Coturnix japonica: one gene and its partners. Each later gene encodes a partner of the first gene's protein in a complex. Links are inferred from orthologs where the notes say so. Each region holds a gene or a part of one and is shown in the gene's direction. Other genes may lie near its edges.

Region 1 (3,652 bases):
AGGGAACGTCTACTTGAACAATTGCGGAGAAAACAACTACAGATTGATGCTAGGATGAACAGCGTGGTAAAGGAAGTGGAGGGGAATGCAGATGAGGTATGCTTATGTCTGACAAACATATCAATGGAGATTTCACATCTCTAAAGTGTTTTGTATTGTTCTTTTAATCTCTGTGGAAGGTTGACTATAAACCCAGCACTGCTGCAGCCTTCCTGCATGGTACTTGGAGTTGCATACTGAGCTTTTGTGAAAAACACAATCTTGAAAAATAAGGGAAGACCTTAATAGCTGTTTAGAGGCTCTCATTTCTATTTTACAAATATATATAAAGCGTGATGAGATCTGTACAAGACTCAGCACTTCCATTCACGTAGGAAACTCAAATATTCAGTGAACTTCTTTGAACGCTTCTATTGTAGGACCTGCTGGCAGTGGAGGAAGGAATGCAAGAATCCAGTGAAAGTCTTGGTGGTGACAAGTACTTAGTGGATGTAAACATAAGCTGTCATGCAAATGGGGGCATTCCCTTTTTCCAGGTAACTTTCACAGCCATTCTAAACAGTGAAAGACAGTGAAAGAAAGTTATCATCCTATAATAGGCTTGTAGTATAAAATCATTTGCTGATAGTCTTCAGTGTAGTCTTACAACTTCTTTTACTGCTGTAGAATACACTTTGTTAAACTTCAGTCAAAATAAAACATTCTAACAAGGTATTAAAAATATAATTATTTGCTAGACACATGCATTTGTTTTAACGGAAAAGATGAGATTTAATACAGTGCATTTTCTTAGAGACCTGATTAAATATAAGCTTTTTTGATTTTATTTTTTTTTTCTTGCATGCTTTTGACCCTTCTCTTCCACCGATGTATTGTGGACCTGCATTATCTTAACATGCAAAACTTATCAGATGTTTTCTTTAAATTCCAGTATAAAAGGAGTCACAAAAAAGATAAAGAGAACAAATCTGCGATGATGTTGGAGAAAAACAAAACTGAAGACATGACAGAACAGCTACTTCCTAAATCTAAGCTACCCTTAAGATCAGCGAACTAAGATTATACATATATGTATATAGTGCAGATTCTTATCGAATACTTTTGGTTATCTACTGAGCCATAAGTTCTCTTCGTTATTCTGCCTCTGTATATAGTGATATATTGATGCAACGTTGGATCCGAAACTTGACCCAATATGTCCTGCCTTTGTTCTGTTTTTATATATGATGGCTTGCAAAGTATTAACAGTTCTATTTTTAAAACAAAACAAAAAAAAAACCTGCAGATTATGGTGCTGTATGTTACGTGACTTTTTTTTATCCTGTCAATTAATAGATTGCTTTCTGCTTCTTATTAGATTTGTAGTAGCAGGAAGGGATATGGAATAATGCTGGGTTTTTCATTGTAAATATGTGGTCTGTTTTTGTACTTGTCTTACACTTATTTCTGTTGCTATAAAGTAGATGGTTGTCTTTGGGATACTTTTAAATAAATCAGTTGATACATAGAGTACAGATGTGTATGCATATGTGGTTTTGGTCTTAAACTTGATAATATAGCTAAAACATTAGTGTATCTGCAAAATAGATGCTCTGGACACCATTTAGATAAAGATCAATAATTTTGATTATACCCTTTCACTGTGATTCTCTTAGTTATGGCACCAGATAGACTGATCAGCTGTATTTCTGTACCACTTCTTACCTGTTATTTTTCTTCATGGGTGAAGCTAATCTCTTTTCTTTAGCAGCAGATAGCAGGAGACAAAAGTATGAACAAGGCAGCTGTATGTCCACTGATACATTATTGTTTTATTTGTATCATCTTAGTACTTAGCTTATATACTAGATCTTTCTATTATGTGAAGTTTGGAACCCTATATAAAGGGGTTTTGAAATCTTGTTTTGTCTGTGGGAATGTTTCTATCAGTGTGGTTGGTATATTGTGAAATTCTGATAACAGAAACCTAATGGATGTAAGAATTCTCCAAGGCTTAGCATCTAGGTTCTTTTACACTGACAAGATTTTTGTTAGTGTGATCTGTCCATTTCCTAGCTGAAAGGCATTTCTGCAAGTCTTTCAGCCTTAATTTTTCCATATGGAGTTCACAAGACTGGTGTGAACAAACAAACTGGAGCAGCCAATGCCAAGGAATGATCACAGAATCACAGAATTGTAGGGGTTGGAAGGGACCTCTAGAAATAGAGTCCAACCCTCCTGCCAAAGCAGGCTCCCTACACCACATTGCACAGGTAGGCGTCCAGGGCACATCCATTAAAATGATGCCAGTATCTATGCTTATTTAACTTCTTGAAACTACCCTTGTCCATAGCTGTTTGATTTTCCTTGGTACAGATGCAGGTTGCTTTTCTCATATTGAAAGGCTTTAACAGTTGTATGAATCTTTAGGAGTGCTTGCTTTCTCTTTTCAGAGAGATGTGTTTTCTTACATTTGCAATAATATTATGGCAGGTAACTGCTCCTTTCGTTGGGCCTGGTGTGTAGTGGTCATGCCAGAAAGCTGAATGGGATGAAAAACTTGGATACTCTCTGCTTCCTTGCCACGTTCTCTTCTTCCACTAGGTGGCTCTAACACTGAAGTGTTACTCTAAACCTCCAGCGCCGATTGCTAACTAGGATTTAGGAACAGGCATTTTGCTGAGGTTTTAGTCAAACATCTGTTACAAGAGCAGGTTTGAAAACCTAATAATTTTATGCTTCTGCTAGGATAACCCTATATTCAAACTGTGGTGAGCGTTTGTTTAAGGAAGGAGCTGCACCTGAGTGAAATGTTCAGAATCACAGCTTGAGCTTTGCCACAGGATCAATAGATGTTTGTAGTAATTAAATGCTCTCTGAGATCTCTGTTGCATGGGCATTTGCTAAAATAGGAAGCAAAACCTACTTGTTTAGCTGTAAGAGACACCTTCCTTAACTTTGCTTACATAGGGTTACTGGATATACAGGTTTAACCTGTAGAGAAGAAATTGGTGATCTGGTGTAGTTTACAGAATGGTATCTATTAATGGTATCTATTTGGCTTGTTAGAAAGTATCACTCATAAGAAGTATCGAAGCTGTTTCCACAGAACAAGTCGGGAGGTCATAAGCTGACTGAGTTAGTTGCGCTGAGCTGGAGGTAGAGTTGTGGTGTGACTGGGATTGTAGCATACAGCTGCGCTCTAACTGGGTAATTTTTCCGTCTGATTCTAGATTAGCAGCCAAGTGGGGCAACTCTTGAATTAACAGCAAAAAAAAGAAAAGGAAAAAAAAAACAAAAACAAAAAAACCAGAAATATGTACAATGAATGGTAAAATGAACAGGGGAAAAAGAGCTTAAACACATGTAATGTGTGAAGAGTGATAAAAAGACAACAGGAAACAATAATCAGAGCCACCAGCTTTCTTTTCAATTGAAAGGGAGCAATGAAGAGACTGGAGGAAAGGAAGCTTTCTGCTTCCAAGCTGACTGCTGTTGCTGGCTGCTTGTATTTCAGGTATCAGAAGCAGTTGTGTGGGACTTGAGAGGAGTGAGAAGGTATGTAGTTGTTAGGCTCTACTTTCTTTGTTCTGTTAGACATCAGTCCCCTTTGTAATCATATGTTAAATGAGCAGAGGAAACAAGAGAGCCTATAGCTCTTCAGAGTGATAAA
Region 2 (4,269 bases), on another chromosome or scaffold:
TTTGTATCCTCAAGGATATAGAGCATAGAGATGCTGGAGCTGATAACACTGCAGTTCAGTCATGTTTAGCTCAGGCAGAACTAACTGCAAAGCACAGCTGACAGATTGCCCTGCCCTCCCTTCTAGCCCAGCCACACACAGCTCCTCCAGGCTGGATGTGGGAGCTGAGCCAGCCTATTCCACAGCTGCACCTGGACAGAGAAGGCAGGGCTTCTCACTGAATACACCAGCATTCAGTGTCAGGCTGTACCGTGTTTAGACATCTCTGTATGATACCCAGTCACATGGCATTAACATAACCTGGAACTATCAAAATTGATCTGTGTGGAATCACAGGGGCTGGAAAAGACCTTTAAGGCCACCAAGCCCAACTCGCCCCCCCCCTTCCCATGCCCACATCCCTCAGTGCCACATCCCACAGTTGTGGATCACTCCAGGGATGTTGACCCCACCACCCTCTGTGCAGCTGTGCCGATGCATCCCCATTCTTTCTGAGAATCATTTTATTCCTTTTCTATCCTTTGTTACGCCACTTCTTGCATTTTTAAGTAGAGATCACAAAAACAGCCAGTTCAATCATTTCACTTCCAAACCGATCCCAGCACAAAGGCATCCAGAATAAAAACACTGCAGCAGAGTTTGTGGCACAAAGCAACGCACTTGTATCGTCACCTCTTGAAACAGAAACAGTCTTGAGTTGGTGGGAATCATTTCCTCCACAACGATCATCAACCCTCACAATTCTCACTTCCCCTCACTATGCAATTAGAAAACCAATTATAATGGGGAACCAAATACCTCTCATGAGGCCTTGATCACTCTGATAAGAAACATTTCCAACACCAAATGTGAATTCTTGCTGCCACAACTTGGGGCCATTAACTCTTTATCTTGAGAGCTTCTCAGAGCACTCACAATCACAGATCATCTAGTCCAACCATTCCCAATACTTCCCAGCTAAATCATATCCCTCAACACAACATCCAGACGTTTCTTGAACACCCCCACGGTCGGTGACTCCCCCACCTCCCTGTGCAGTGCATTCCAATGCCTGACTACCCTTTCCAACAAGTAATACTTCCTAATGTTCAGCCTGAATCTCCCCTGGCGCAGCTTAAAACCATTCCCTCTAGTTCTATTACACGAGAGAAGAGGCCAACCCCAGCCATCCCACTCCACCCCCCTCAGAGAGCAGGCGGCATCCCCGAGCACCCAAGGCCGCTCTCTCCCCGTTGAAGGCCACTCTTCACCTCCTCTCTGTCCCCACACCACTACCCAGCCATTATTACCCCTCTCCTCACCCCCAGCCGCCCTCTCCCCGCCCTCTCCCCGCCTACCAGCGCCATCTCTCCGCCTCCATCCGGCATCTCCTCAGGGCTCGGTTTCACCTCAGCCTGTCGCGCTTGCGCCCGCCATCAACTGAGCATGAGCAGAGCGACTCTGTATTGCTTCGTCTCGCGAGAGGTACCAGCCCGCTGTCATGGCGGCGGAGGAACCGGAGGTGGATGTGGAGGGGGATCTGACGGCCGCGCTCGGGGAGGCGGCATCAGAGTGAGTGAGGGTACAGAGCCCGTATAGAGCCCGTATAGAGCCAGTATAGAGCCCGTATAGAGCCGGTATAGAGCTCATATAGAGCCCATACAGCGCCCAGCCGCTGTGGGGAGCCCTGGGTTCTTTGGTTTGTTCGACCCTGAGCAAAGGGAGCCGAGGGGGGCCCTGATGGCGGCTGCAGCTCCTCACAGGGAGCGACTTATTGAGGGGGGTTTAGGCTGTGCCCAATGGTGTGTTATAATACTATCTAATAGTCTACAATGCGTGACGTGAATTTTACTATCTCCTTCTTCTGGTGATGGTATAGAGCCCAATGATACGTTCATTTTGATTGAGTATATGTGTCGTTTTGAATATGGGGCTTTTCTTTCAGAGGTCATGAAAACACAGCATCGAGCTTACTGCAGGATCACTATCTTGATTCATCCTGGAGAACTGATAACAGCCTTGTAAGTTATTTTTAATTGAATTGAATGATTGAATTGAATTGAATGATGCTACTAGCAAAGTTATTCCAACTTCAACCTCATCTCCATGTACAGCCCCTTTGAGATTATTAAACAGTGTCTTGTGCTTATCTCCAGAAGCTCTTTATATATTTCATTCTTGGTACTTAAATAGCGTAACAGAATCCAGGATTAAGAGCTGTTTGTGTTGTTTGCAGCCATGGACGCTGGACAGCAGCATTAGTGAAGAGAACAGGGCTGTCATTGAGAAAATGCTGCTGGAGGAAGAGTATCCTTTTTCTGATCTGCTTCATTGCAATGGAACTGGCCCAATGGTTTGTTTGACAGCATGACAGAAGGAGAGTCACTTTGTAGATGGATTGTAGGGACTTAATAAGTCATATAACTGCCCATAGCTTCTCCTAATGCCAGTAAGTCTTTGTCTTGTTCAGTCCCTTGGCACTTTTTTTGTGACTGAGTAACTCAGAGTAACAGAAGAAACAAGAAAATACAGGGATTTTCCCAACGTAATGAATTAATGAGGGTTAAACTAAGAGTAGATAAGAGAAAGTTACTTCATTATGGTTTCTGTGTCAAATAAGCAAAAGCCTGTTATGGAAACAGGACAAACTCAAAGTGAGTGAGTTGTGCATTCAGGAAACAAGTATCACTGCCTTCTGTATTAAACTAACAGGAGCATTCCTATGACTGAAGTATTAGGAACCAATGTAACTAATAGGATTTCTAGAGTTCTTATATCTTTGAAAGCTTTCTTAGTAACAATTGCAGATATTACCTATCAAACAAATCGCTGTCTGAGAAAATATGGCTCAGTCAAAAGGAAGCAGAAAAAAGATCTGTGAAAAGGTGAGCTGGGTAATAAGAAATGAATTAATAAGAAATTAAAAGCTGGTTAATTGCAGGTATGTGCAATTGTATCACATTGACTAACTTTTAATTTCATTCTGTTGTGTTTTTATTTGCAGCCCACATAAGAAAACTGGAAAAGTCATGTATGTACATTGTCACAGTTGCATTGTTTTCAGCATGGCTTCTAATTTTTGTTAAGTTACAGAACACACACCCAAAAATGTCACCTCCCTAAAGTTATTCAAGGGATCTTTCAGCACACAGAGATACTGTATGTAAGAAAAGGGCTGCAGTTAACTCATTTGTTGTGTTTTGTTGCTGGTTTGTTGGTTTGCTTTATAACACAGTTGTCCTTATTTAAAGAAAGAATGCTAATTCAGGTTGGCTTTCGTGGCTGTCTTTGAGTCTTTCTTTATGATGGAGAAGCTGACGTGTTTGTCAGTCTATCAGCCAAGCTGGTGCTTCAAACAACACCATGAGCTTTAAGGAGATAATTAGTGTTGCTCTTGTCAGGAGTTGTCTTCAGTCACTGGGGTTTGGGATGATATGCTTAAGAAACCATCATCTCATTTCCTTCCTGTTCATAGGGTGCGATCTCCTACAAAACCAGGCAGCAACTCATTGAAGTGGACATCAGAAGAAAAAGAACTATTTGAACAAGGGCTGGTATGAATGCATTGATGTGTAATTGTTTGAATAGGCCATTAATTTATCTTAAATAATAAACTAATCATAAATAAACACGTTGTGCTTAGCTGTTTCTACTTGTGTACTTGTAACTGCACAGTCACACTGCTGTCTTAAGTGTGCTTTAAGTATAGAATGCATAGGATGAGTGATGAAAGTGAAATCCTGCAGCTCGTATTATTAGGAATAGCAACACTTCTTACTGTTGGATGCGATGCATTCCTTGTTGCAATGTGATTATTGAGGTTCTTGGGTTCGGCTGTACTGTTTGTGTGTTTGTAATGCAAAACTGAGCTTTTAAACACTTTGTGAGTATGAACTGGAATGTTTGGAATGTTGGAGACTGGGTAACTCAGGTTTGCTTTGTTGCTCTAGGTGAAATTTGGCCGCCGCTGGACAAAAATTGCCAAGTTGATTGGGAGTCGTACTGTTCTACAAGTGAAGAGCTATGCCAGGCAGTACTTTAAGAACAAGGTAAACAGAATATTTCAAGTATTGTTGTCAAGTTAGTTTGCTTTGTATGATTTTGGTATTTTTATTGCTTTGTCAGCCTAACACCTCCCTCTGAACGTCTGTCTGCTGGTCAAGTAAAATAGTTCTGATTGTCTGGGAAGCAGTTTTTTTCCTCTTTTTAATGTATCTTATGCTTTCCTAGGCAAAAAATGATGGTTCTGAAAGAGAAGAGCAAAGTCAGTGTGGTGGCAGCCTTCCGTCT
Region 3 (3,652 bases), on another chromosome or scaffold:
AAGACTGGAGGAGCGCAGGGGGGTAATTGAATTCCACGTGGTTGGGAACTCCCTGAACCAGAAGCCAAACAAGAAGATCATGATGTGGCTGGTTGGTTTGCAGAATGTGTTCTCCCATCAGCTCCCTCGGATGCCAAAGGAGTACATCACACGCTTGGTTTTTGATCCGTGAGTATGGCTGGAGAGGAGTTTCATGATTGGGATGAAGAGAGCACATTGCTTGTTGCAGACAGTGATTTTAGAATGGGCCAGCCCAGATACTGTAGAGAGGAACTCTACCCCTGCTACCCTTATGTTATTCTTATGAATGTTAGAACCAAAATTCTGAAAATAATTCTGGTGTTCATTAGTGGCCTCTGGGCCCATACTAACTTGCAGACTGCTCTATCCTCTGTTTTTGGAGTTTGAAAACCAAATGGCAGCAGAGATTGAAGGCTTTTCAGTGAGAAGAACTTGCAGAATTTATGAAGAATAGCATCTAAGTCAACATGGGGAGAATGCTTAAAATCACTGCTCACAGGAGTACATTGCCTTTCTCTTTATACGTGCACGTTTCCTGCCTTGCTTTAGGTACAAATCTACACCACAGGCACTTTTAAAGAGATATATTTGCTATAGCAACATCCACAGGTTGCATGTTGTCTTCATCCACCCTAGTGAACTGATGAATTGTGTTTAAGCAGGAGAAAAAGGGTTTTCTCTACATTCATGGATATTTACGCTCTGCCCATTCTGACTTTTGTCTTCTGCTTAGCTGTTCTATTACACGGATGTTTTTCTTCTGTTTACAGCACTCATTGCCTTTAGAGTTTCAAGGCTGTCAGGTGTCAATCTTCTTATTGATCAATACATTAAGACAATTTGTTGCCCTGACATTTTCTTTACCTTTTGCTCAGAAGTGTCTATTTTTAGACTGTTGCACTTCTTACAGAGTCTACTTCCAACCAATGTGCTTTCCCCAGATTTCTGCCTGTGTACAACCCATGTCCATTGAAGATTTAGGGGTCTACAATATTAACTGCAGCACTTCACAGTGTAGTGTGCTTGTGGACTCTTTGCTACATGTCAGTAGATACCACAAATGGAGCTTTGCTTGAGCTGATCTAGATGTCTGCCTAGCCTGGTTAGTGGTAGAGCCTACCTCCACCACCAGTGATATGAGCCACTGTCTTCATGTCTGCTATTATTGCTGTAGCAGTTAGGAAAACACTTCTGGAATGATTTCCTCTGCTTTTAGACTTGCTAGCACTTCCCTCTGCACTACTTTCTCAGTGCCAGCAAGCTCTGCTGCTGCATGCTCTGTGCAATCTCTGAAGCTCAGGCCACCCAGTTCTGGGACAAGCGGACAAAACTTCAGTCTCCAAGCACAGGAGACCAACCGTGGAACTTTTTCCTGTGTTCTTCAGAAGGGACCAGCAAGGTTCTTGTGAGGACCAGCACGAGTCTGGACTCTTTTTCTTCTCCTATGAGAGGGTAAATGCTGCTCGATTTGGAGGGAGAGGCAGCACTGAGAAATTTTCTGAAGTTTGGTGTCTTAGCAGCACTGTGAACTCAAGCAGAAGCTACTGGTTGAAGTTCAGGTTTCACAATAACCAAACATCTGAGTAAATTTTGAAGCAGTAGTCTTGTGCCATAGCCTCCTCCCACATTTCTCTAGGCCCTTCTTTATTAGCAAAGACTCTTCTAATAAGTTGATAGGAAAAAGTGCAGTCTAACTGTTCTCTTCCAAAGACTTTTCAGCCATTAATATAATTATGATCTATTTTGTTCTTATTTCCAAAGTGGTCATCCTTAGTAAATCTTTTTCCAACAAGAGAACAAACAATTTTGTTTTGAAGAAACAAAATTAAAAACACAAGCTACTATACACTGCTGTCTTTCTACAAATTAAAAATACTAAAATAAAGAAAAAAAAAAAAAGAATATGTACAATATATAAATTCTACTTCAACACTAACATTTAAAATACTTTTCAGACTGACCTTTTTTTGGAAGAGGCTCATTTTGGCACCAACTTTCCTTCACATCAAAGACATCTTCTCTGAATTTACAGTACTGTTTATACAGTTTATATTATACTGTGTACTGAATAAGCTAGAGAACAGCTGCATTGTAAATCTTTCCAGACCTTGAGGATGATGCTAAAATTTTGGTGCTTGATGTGAGAGTTCAGATTGCACCTTGCTTTATCTTTCCCGGCAGTCAGTGCAAGTGCAACAGAAATGGATATTTATTCTGGTCTCCATTTTACTAGGAATTAGATTAGAAATATGAAATATCATTTATTGCTTGATCAGCTGTGTTGGAAACTGATAGCACAGCTATTCAGAGTACATGCAAGGAAACAGGAATCCCTTAGGAAGGACTTGCTGTCCTGTAACTCCATTAATTTCTAATTTAGGCAGGCTAAGATCATACTGAGAACTATGCAATGGCACAACTGTCAGTAATATAGTCAACAAAAGTAATATAAATCTTATTAATAGAAGTACTCTAGTATGTAGGAGTACTTGGCAAGGCTAGGACATGCTGCATAATGATGAATTTTATGGTAAACTCAAAGCATGATGTTAAGAAAAACTCTTCGGTAGGTACAGATATCTTAACAGAGGCATATACAATTGCAGTGGCACCATGGAAAGAAGTGAATCAAGTTTCTGAAAAAAGGAAAGTAATGGCACATTATGTACTATGTACATGAATTAAAATGAATGTTATTTTTGTCTACTCAGGAAACACAAGACTCTTGCATTAATAAAAGATGGTCGTGTTATTGGTGGTATCTGCTTCCGAATGTTCCCTTCCCAAGGATTTACAGAGATCGTTTTCTGTGCTGTGACTTCCAATGAGCAAGTCAAGGTAAAATTAACTCTCCACTAGAGTTTATTAAATGCATATGAATTCCATTTACCACCGTATATACTCCTAATTTTGTGGTCTCATTGAATATATTGTGCTACCAAACAGAAATCAAATTTGATAGATACAGTGATTCTGAATGTACCATAGAAAACCTAAATAATAGGACAGATTTAAAATCATCAGAATAATAGTGGGACTATTTTTCTAAGAAAAAAGACACATTCCTCAACACAAAAATAATGGTAATTTTTCTTCCACTCTTGGATTATTCACCCTTTTCTTCAGCAACTGCCTTTCAGTGTGGCATAACGCATCATGGTTGGCTGAATTAAGTGTAGCTTACATGTGTTTGTAATATATGCTCAGTCTCTTTGTGATGTTAAACAGCTTCAATGAAAATTAGTTATATCGAATAAATTAGGTATAGTTTCACAACTCAAAATAAGCATACACTGTTTTGCATACTTATTTTTGAGTACAGTGTGCATAATGTTCTCAGTGTTGATCTGTAATGTTGAGAGAATGTAAAGCACTATAAATATACAGGAGATTCTGCTCTTCTTCTCCAGGATTACAGGTAAATCTAAGTGGGAGTATTTAGTTCAGGATATTGCCTTTAGATGGTGCTGTAGCTATATGTTTTTCAGTTGAAATTGTTAATGCTGAGATGTGGGTTAATTTAGAGTTTCTAGAAGATGAACAAGCAGAAACTGTGTGAAAGCCTGTGACAACTTTTAGTACTTGAATTATATTTGAATTTATGAGACTCTGAATTCATAAGGTTAACATT

Evidence for each region.
Region 2: KIF11 (region 1) and MYSM1 share a complex: the UniProt entries of both Homo sapiens proteins name them as parts of the large chromatin remodeling complex. The link is inferred for Coturnix japonica from reciprocal best matches to the Homo sapiens genes KIF11 and MYSM1.
Region 3: KIF11 (region 1) and KAT2B share a complex: the UniProt entries of both Homo sapiens proteins name them as parts of the large chromatin remodeling complex. The link is inferred for Coturnix japonica from reciprocal best matches to the Homo sapiens genes KIF11 and KAT2B.

What each region holds. Positions count from the first base shown.
Region 1 is NC_029521.1:17,986,919-17,990,570, reverse strand, and holds the end of KIF11 (kinesin-like protein KIF11), read left to right. Parts: coding exon 1-96; intron 97-419; coding exon 420-536; intron 537-931; coding exon 932-1,057; 3' UTR 1,058-3,288; downstream 3,289-3,652. UniProt on the Homo sapiens protein: Motor protein required for establishing a bipolar spindle and thus contributing to chromosome congression during mitosis. Required in non-mitotic cells for transport of secretory proteins from the Golgi complex to the cell surface.
Region 2 is NC_029523.1:23,575,893-23,580,161, reverse strand, and holds the start of MYSM1 (histone H2A deubiquitinase MYSM1), read left to right. Parts: upstream 1-1,440; 5' UTR 1,441-1,480; coding exon 1,481-1,551; intron 1,552-1,924; coding exon 1,925-2,000; intron 2,001-2,215; coding exon 2,216-2,286; intron 2,287-2,786; coding exon 2,787-2,864; intron 2,865-2,983; coding exon 2,984-3,010; intron 3,011-3,454; coding exon 3,455-3,533; intron 3,534-3,929; coding exon 3,930-4,028; intron 4,029-4,209; coding exon 4,210-4,269. UniProt on the Homo sapiens protein: Metalloprotease with deubiquitinase activity that plays important regulator roles in hematopoietic stem cell function, blood cell production and immune response.
Region 3 is NC_029517.1:32,877,895-32,881,546, forward strand, and holds part of KAT2B (histone acetyltransferase KAT2B), read left to right. Parts: coding exon 1-168; intron 169-2,732; coding exon 2,733-2,859; intron 2,860-3,652. UniProt on the Homo sapiens protein: Functions as a histone acetyltransferase (HAT) to promote transcriptional activation. Has significant histone acetyltransferase activity with core histones (H3 and H4), and also with nucleosome core particles.